Linked DNA regions of Cricetulus griseus. The protein of the gene in region 1 interacts with the protein of each later gene in a pairwise test. Links are inferred from orthologs where the notes say so. Each region holds a gene or a part of one and is shown on either strand. Other genes may lie near its edges.

What was found.
Region 2: the proteins of Gopc (region 1) and Cercam interact in a two-hybrid assay, tested with the Homo sapiens proteins (2 studies listed by BioGRID and IntAct). The two-hybrid records come from large-scale screens. The link is inferred for Cricetulus griseus from reciprocal best matches to the Homo sapiens genes GOPC and CERCAM.

The regions. Positions count from the first base shown.
Region 1 is NC_048595.1:256,530,859-256,534,419, forward strand, and holds part of Gopc (Golgi-associated PDZ and coiled-coil motif-containing protein), read left to right. Parts: intron 1-1,050; coding exon 1,051-1,146; intron 1,147-2,688; coding exon 2,689-2,853; intron 2,854-3,561.
Region 2 is NC_048599.1:141,525,180-141,529,471, forward strand, and holds the start of Cercam (inactive glycosyltransferase 25 family member 3), read left to right. Parts: upstream 1-1,471; 5' UTR 1,472-1,474; coding exon 1,475-1,734; intron 1,735-3,072; coding exon 3,073-3,183; intron 3,184-3,331; coding exon 3,332-3,449; intron 3,450-4,292. UniProt on the Homo sapiens protein: Probable cell adhesion protein involved in leukocyte transmigration across the blood-brain barrier. Does not express any beta-galactosyltransferase activity in vitro.

The sequences.
Region 1 (3,561 bases):
TAAAATCATGGAAATAAGTGGCCAGGGAAAACATCTATAAATTAAACAGGAATAGGAGGCCAAGGATGGAAAGTTAGTGTGGTGGAAGAGAGTGGGTCACAAAGAAAGAAGCCTGACCAGTCAGATGTAGGTTACCTGGGAGAGTAAGAGAAACCAAGGAAAAGAGGGAGTTTCAAAGTGGATATTTATTTACCCCATGTCAACTTTCTGCTAGGTAGGGTAGCGACTAAGAGTGTACATTGGATTCAGTAGTATTTTCACAAGTGAACATAAAGAAAATTGCAGGCTAGCAAATGGTCTTAATCATAGTGACCAAAGTAAAGTGGGAGGCCAGGAACTTAGTCTGTGTAGAGGGTAGAAGATAGTGACAGAAAGATGGCTGGGTGGAAGGGGTATTGTTGGGCTCCTTTTGTTTGGTTTGGGAATTTGTCAGTATCTTGAAAGTGGAAGATGGTTAGAATTATTGAGCTGCTGAGTTGAAAAGGAGTTTAGTAGAGAGAAAAGGATGAGAGATACGAGAGGTAGCCAAGCGTGCCAGTGCAAAGTGTTTGCTTAGTGTGCAGTAAGGCCTTAGGTTTGAACCAAAAACAAGGCAAGGGAGGTCAAAAAAAGAGCAACTAAAGGAACTGTTTTTAACAGGTAGGTTCTAGAGCACTACAGAATAAAAAAGTAATTAGTGGTTCAAGTTGAAATGAAAATCTCAATTCTAAAACTCAGTTATCATTTATATAGGGTATTAAGACAAGATACTTTCTAGTGAAGATACATGGTTACTACTTTATTCCTTAGAGAGGCTTGTTTATTGTTTGATTCCTGGTAATTTTATAATGTCTTATAATCCAAACAAATATGTATTTCCAAAAAATGGAAAAAAATGATGTTAAAATTTGCTGTACCTACTGAACAGCATTTTCATCTTTTTAATTGCTATGCTGTTTATCTCTACCAGAAGATTAATAATGGTTTCTAAAAGCAAGTTATGTAACATGAGTTCTACTTGGTTTGTTATTTAAATACTACAATTTTTTTTTCTTTTTTCTCTGCAACAAGGATCAAGACTCGTTGAAGAAAAGCCAGGGAGTTGGTCCAATTCGAAAAGTTCTCCTCCTTAAGGAAGATCATGAAGGCCTAGGCATTTCAATTACAGTAAGAAGTAGTGCTTCCGGGTTCCCTGTGGGCAGGGCTGGGAGAACCAGGCATCATCTGGAAAACAAAGTGTTGTGGATATAGCTCAAAACAACCAAATCTTTCAAGACTTAGGCAGCGGCACTTTCGCATAAAACCTTTTTGTGTATAAAACTTGTTATAACTTAGGTGCTGACATCTTCAGTACAACTGAAAGCATGGTCTGTACCATGTCTCTGTGGTGTCCTTGGGGCCTGTGGGCAGCCAGGCTGTCCTTTCTGAGTTAAGTGGCTCAAAATGCAACGCCCTTGGGCTTGGAGAAATGGGTCAGTGGTTACACACTCTGGCTGCTCTTTGAAAGGGCCCAGGTTCAATTCCCAGCACTTACATGGCAGCTCATTAACTGTCTGTAACTCCAGTTCCAGGGGATCTGATACCCTCTTCTGACCTCCTCAGGCACCTGGTATGACCATGTTATAAAGACATGCATGGAGACAAAATACCAATATACATAAGATAAATTTTTAAAGTAAGAATAACATAGAATTATACAAGCTACATAGAGTGAGACCAATTAACAATTGCTATAATCCTTCAACTCAACATTACATATTTTTACATTTCTGAAATTGAGGATTTATCACACAATTTTAAAACTACCTTGGTTAAAGCTGTACATGGTGGCACATGCCTTTTATCCCAGCACTTGTCAGGCAGAGCTAGGTTGAAGGCCAGCCTGGTCTACATACCAAGTTCCGAGCTGCATAGAGAGACCCTGTCTTCAAAAAACAAAACAAAACAAAACAAAACAATTATCTTGGTTATACCTAAAATTGATCTTATCATACATGTCTTAGTGTTCAGTTGCCGTGAAGAGACACCATACCCAGGCAACTCTTATAAAAGAAAACATTTATTTGGGGCTTGTTTACAGTTTCAGAGGATTAGTGCGTTATTATCATGTGGGGGAACATGGCAGCATACATAGCACTAGAGCAGTACCTGAGAACTGTGTCCTGATTCACAGGCCTGGCTTGGGCTTCTGAAATCTCAAAGCCCATCCCCAGTGATGATGTACTTCCTTCAGAAAGGCCACACCTACTTCAACAAAGCCACACCTCATAATCCTTCCAATATGTTTAAACAATTCTACTCCATGGTGACTAAGTATTCAAATATATGAGCCTATGAGAGCCATTCTTATTCAAACCACCACAGTACATAACAATTGAGATTTGCTAAAAGCACTATGGAAGAACCCACAAGATGACACAAAATACTGTCGTTTACTAGTATATAATTTGTTCTTAATGTTTAAGAAATGAGGTTATTGTTTGTTTGGGTATTTTAGTTTGGGGGTCTATAGTGATTTCAGAAAATGGAATGTTTTTAGTCATTGTACTCGGGGGTGCTTCTTTGGTAGCAAGTAAACTTTCACCCAGTGTTTACAGAGACCTTCTGCCTATTGAAATGAGTTTTTAAGAAAATGTCTTCTTGAAGATGATCTGCAGCCATTTAATAAAATATAAACTAACTAACTGCCTTTGGTATTGTTACTGTTAGGGTGGGAAGGAACACGGTGTTCCCATTCTCATCTCCGAGATCCATCCAGGACAGCCCGCTGATCGATGTGGAGGGCTACACGTTGGAGATGCTATTCTGGCAGTGAATGGAGTTAACCTGCGGGACACAAAGCACAAAGAAGCTGTAACCATCCTTTCCCAGCAGGTGAATTCTCTTTATGGAGTTAAAACTAGCATAGAACTTGTTTCCATTCTTTGAAGCCTATGGATGTCATTTGATCATATTTTGCTGAAAAGGACAGTTATGTTTACTCCTTCCCAAAGTTTCTTACCTTTGAACAGATTACATAGGTCGTCTCTGCGGCAGTCTCATCTGTACAGCTGAAGTGTCCAGTAAGGTGTGTGTTGATTGCTACTCAGAATATGATGGGTACATAAGAGCATGACTGATGGCATCATAGCAAGATAGGGCATCAGAGAAAGGGCTGCTGGAAGTAGATTGGCTTTAGTCATAAAATGTAACGTAAGGACCCTGAACATTGTTGTTAGCCCACTTTCCTTTTTTAACAAAATTAAGCTGGGCTGGAGAATTGCCTCAGTGGGTAAGGGCATTTGCTGCTCTTGCAGAGGACCCAGATTCCGACCCTTTGCACCTACACGATGGTTAATAATTGCAGCTCAAGGATTGATCCTAAGCCCTCTTCTGGTTTCAGAGGGCACAGACATTGATGCAGGCAAAACGCCAATATGAATAATATAAAATAATGATAGTGATAAATATTAAAGTAGCTAAACTGAAATCCTTAGAGAATAGAGGATGTGCTCAAAGTTGCCTAGCAAATTAGAGTTCATATTTAGAGTCAGATTTGTTATGTCACGTCCTTGCAACCTCTGTTTTCCTCTGAGAATAGGG
Region 2 (4,292 bases), on another chromosome or scaffold:
AACCAGAAGGCTTTGGATCCCCTGGAGCTGGAATTACAGACAGTTGTTAGCTGCCATACGGGTGCTGGGAATTGGTCCTTGGTTAAGAGCAGTCAGTGCTTTTAAGCCCTGAGCCACTTGGCACCAGTCACTCCTCTCTTAGCCCCATGGCATTGTTGATTAGGTTTCAGCTTTTGACTGTTGGCGGGCACACTCTGACCACAGCACCCCTATCACTAATACACTGGACAGAGACTCTACATATGTAGGATGGGGACAGTTTTAGGGAGAACCCTCATTTGGGGACTGGGAATGCCTTGGCCAGAGGCTGACAAGCAAGAGGGAGGACTCTGGCTTCCTTCCTTTCAGGATGTTTCCATGGGCCCTTCCCATTGCAGGACCTTTGGTTGAAAATAGCCAAACAGGAAGCTGAGACCAAAGCTAGGCTAGAGATCTGACTCCAGTGTTCAGTTCCCAGGATGCTGCTCATCACCAGGTAAACCCTTTCTTTATCCTGTCAGTAGAGGGCGTGAGCCCCAGCCTAGTGTGCACCTTCCCTTCCCTAATGTCCATAGAAGGCTGAAGGAGACCCTTGGGAAGCAGACCATTCAAACGGAGGGAAGGTGCTCTTCTAACCTAGCCCAGGCTGCATGCAGAGAGCGAGACACGGAGAGCCTCAAAATGCATTCACTCTCAAGGACCCCTAGCAAACCCTCATGTTAGGCGTCATTAATTAGGTTTTACCTGTGAGCATCAGGAGACTCAGGGAAAGGGACTGTCTTAGGCTGGTGACAGATACCCAGCTGGAACTTCTGAAGCTCCTATATCCCCACCCCACCCCAAGAAAGGTTGGAGATTCCCTTTCACCCCAACAGGGTCCTAATACTCGCTCTATCACAGAGGAGGCGATATCTCCTATTTTGGAGGGGGGCTGGGTCACCATCAGAGGTTCTGTGGTGGTCTTCAAGTCCTACACTCAGTCTGAGTGGGCTCTGCTTTCTTTAAGGGCCGGATCTTGGAAGATGATGAGAGGACACGTACTGCGCCTTAATCAGCGGCACCCGGTCCCCGCCCCCGCTGGCTTGCTCTCCAGCCTGTCGCGTCATCTGGAGGGTATGTGGACTTCCCACATGGGGCCACCAGAGGGCGCCGCAGACGGAGCAGGGGTCGGGAGCCGGGACTCCCAGCCAAGCCGGCAGCCTCGCGGGTCTACCGCTGAGGGTCAGGGAGTCGGGATTCCCGGGTGCCCGAATTCTAGGAGTGAGATGAACGTTCAGAGTGCGAGCGGTCCACCATTGGCCCCGTATCCTCCCTTCCTGGCCGTTGCCTTTTGAGGTCCACACAGAGAGGGCAGCCCGGGGACGCGTCTGGAGCAGGTGTCTGACCATGGACATCTAGGACCCGGGCTGAGAAGAGGGCAGCGGAGCGTGCGGGCACCCGCAAGGGTCGCAGGGGCCCCATTGCTGTAGCCACGCCCCTCAGAGACCCCGCCTCCATGCCCCGCCCGTCCCGCCCCCTCCCTGCCGGGGTGGGAGACCCGGGGGCCTCCACAGCCGTGAGTCCCGCCATGAATGTTGCCTCGCTCCTACTTCTGCTGCTCCTGGTGGGCCGCCGGCTCCAGGCTGCGGTTGTCACGGAGTCAACGCTGCCCACTGTGGTCCTTGCTATCCTGGCCCGCAATGCGGAACACTCTCTGCCCCACTACCTGGGCGCACTGGAGCGCCTGGACTACCCCCGGGCCAGGCTGGCCCTCTGGTGAGAGATCATGGGTGGGCACATCTGGGCATCACACCCCAGGATCCAGGACAGCCTCTGACCCGGAGGCTTCATCGCTCCTGTTCAGACACCACCGGGCAAGCTCCTCCCTCCCAGACATGCACTTAGGGCCTCAAGCCCTTCAGCAGGGTCCCTAACCCTCTAGGGGCAAGGGCAGACCTCTGAGGCCTTGGGTCAGCCCAAGGACACCCACTCCTCCTTCGGGCCTCCTAGTTTTCGGGCTCATCCCCGGCTTACTCTAGTTTAAGTTAGGCCTGTCCTTTCCTACCCAGCCCTTAGAGCTCACAGCGCATCTCAGTGGTCAGCTTGATTTGGAGTATAACAGGAGTAGAAAACTCTGGAATCCCCAGGGACCTAATGTAGCAAGGATCAGTCAGACTGGAGGTTTCTAGGGAGCAGATGGAGGGAACCCTCAGCTCCAGGCTGCATGCTGGGCAGGGGCATCAGGCTGAGTCCCCTCCTCAGTAGTACTGCCAGCCTCTCCCGGTAGAGGGGCTGGTAGGTTCCATCCCCAAGGTCTGTGGCCTGGGCTCCCAGGCTACAGCAGCCTGTCTATAAAAGTCTAAACAGGGAGGAGCCCAAGCTGAGGCTGGAGATAAACTGCTCCTCTCAGCACACCAAAGTTGGGCTTGGGGTGGAGCTGTGGCCTGGGGAGGCTGCCCACAGTCTCAACAGCTTGGGAATTAGTTCCCACCCTTGTAGGACTTGACACGTAGTTAGTCTTCACTTCTGAGGAATTGGCTTAAAGGGGCAGCATCGTCCGAAACCTGGCTCTTGGCTGAGATTCCCAGCTCTTTTATAAGAACCCCTTCCCCAGCAGAGAGAAAATTGTGCTCCATGGTAACAGGTCTGGCCTCCAGCACTTCTCAGTGTGCTCAGAGCATGGTATAGAGTCCCAGTTACAGTTCAGGATAGAGAAAGGCGGTGACTCTTTTGTCTGATTCAGAGATGGAAAGGGCCTGGCTTGTGGTGCCATGAAGACGGAAGAAAATGAGGGGCATAGCAGGTGCAATCCTTAAGGTCAAGTGCGTCTTTCACAGTGCACTCAGGCTGAGGATGTGGCTCGGTGGTCAAGGGCTTGCTTGGCATGTACAAGTCTCTAGGTCCAATCCCCCAGGACAATGCCCCAAATTAGAAGGGAGGATGTGAAGCACAGCACATCCTCCAGCACCTCCACTGTAGGAATACCTCTCCCCCATTGCTCTCAGGACAGACCAGACTTGAGGGTGTCCAAGGGCACTTCAAAGTCAAGTGCACCTTGGGGTTCCAGCCCCTCTGTGGCTGTGGTCTCTCAGTTTTTATATCATGTGCTCACAGGTGTGCCACAGATCACAACGTGGACAACACCACAGAGATGCTACAGGAGTGGCTGGCTGCTGTGGGCCGTGACTATGCAGCTGTGGTCTGGAAGCCCGAGGAGGAGGCCAGGTGTTAACCTGAGGGCAAGGGTGTTGGAAGAGATGGAGAACAGCTGTTACCCAGTGTCACAGCCCCCAGAGCAGGGCTGTGTCCACAGCCCTGCTGAGAAGGAGAGGTTCCTCCCTTAGAAGAACATCTAACTTCCTTCCCTCCTCAGGCCCTACCCAGATGAACAGAGTCCCAAACACTGGACCAAAGAAAGGCATCAGTTTTTAATGGAGCTGAAGCAGGAAGCTCTGACCTTTGCCAGGGCCTGGGGAGCCGACTACATCCTGGTAAGGAAGCCTGGTCTGGGATTACGTGGGAGGCATTGGTATTGGTCCCCAAAAGAAGTCTTGGTTATGACCAAACCACCAGGCTGCATCTTTTTAGATTGAGCTGAGACCCTGTATTGGCTCCTTGCATACTAGATACTAAGCCTGGATCCTAGGACAATTCTGAGGTTACATGTTGTGCCTAGATTCCTGAGCTTTTGTTTAGAGTATAAACTAAGCCTGGATCACAGGACTGGAGTGCAGAGTATGTTTTTTAAATATTTATTTATTTGGTTTTTCAAGACAAGGTTTCTCTGTGTAACCCTGGCTGTCCTGGAACTCATTCTGTGGCTGGTCTTCAGAGATCCACTTGCCTCCACCTCCCAAGTGCTGGGATTAAAGCTGTGTGCCACCACTACCCTGGGCTCATTTTTGTTTTATGAAAGTGGGCGTTTGGCCTGCAAGCATGTCTGTGCATCACATGCATGCAGTGCTCACAGAGGCCAGAAGAAGACCTCAGATCCCCTGGAAATGGAGCTACACTCAGTAATGAGCCACCATATGGTTGATGGGTTTCAAACTCAGGTCCTCTGGAAGATCCAGTAGTGCATCTAACCACTGAGCTATCTCTTCAGTGCCCTCAGTGTTATTCTTTTGTTTAAATTAGAAATAAAGAAGAAAAGAGGCGGATGAGACATAAGACTGAGAGACATATTAGACATATTAAGCAGTTTATTTTAGGCCTGGCAGAGTAAAGAGACTAAGAGAGAAGAGAAACAGGGGTAATGGCTGACCGCCATGGCCGGTCACCATAGAGAGGCAGAGAGAGTGTAGGTGGGGGAAGAGAAGAGCAGAGAGAAGAGT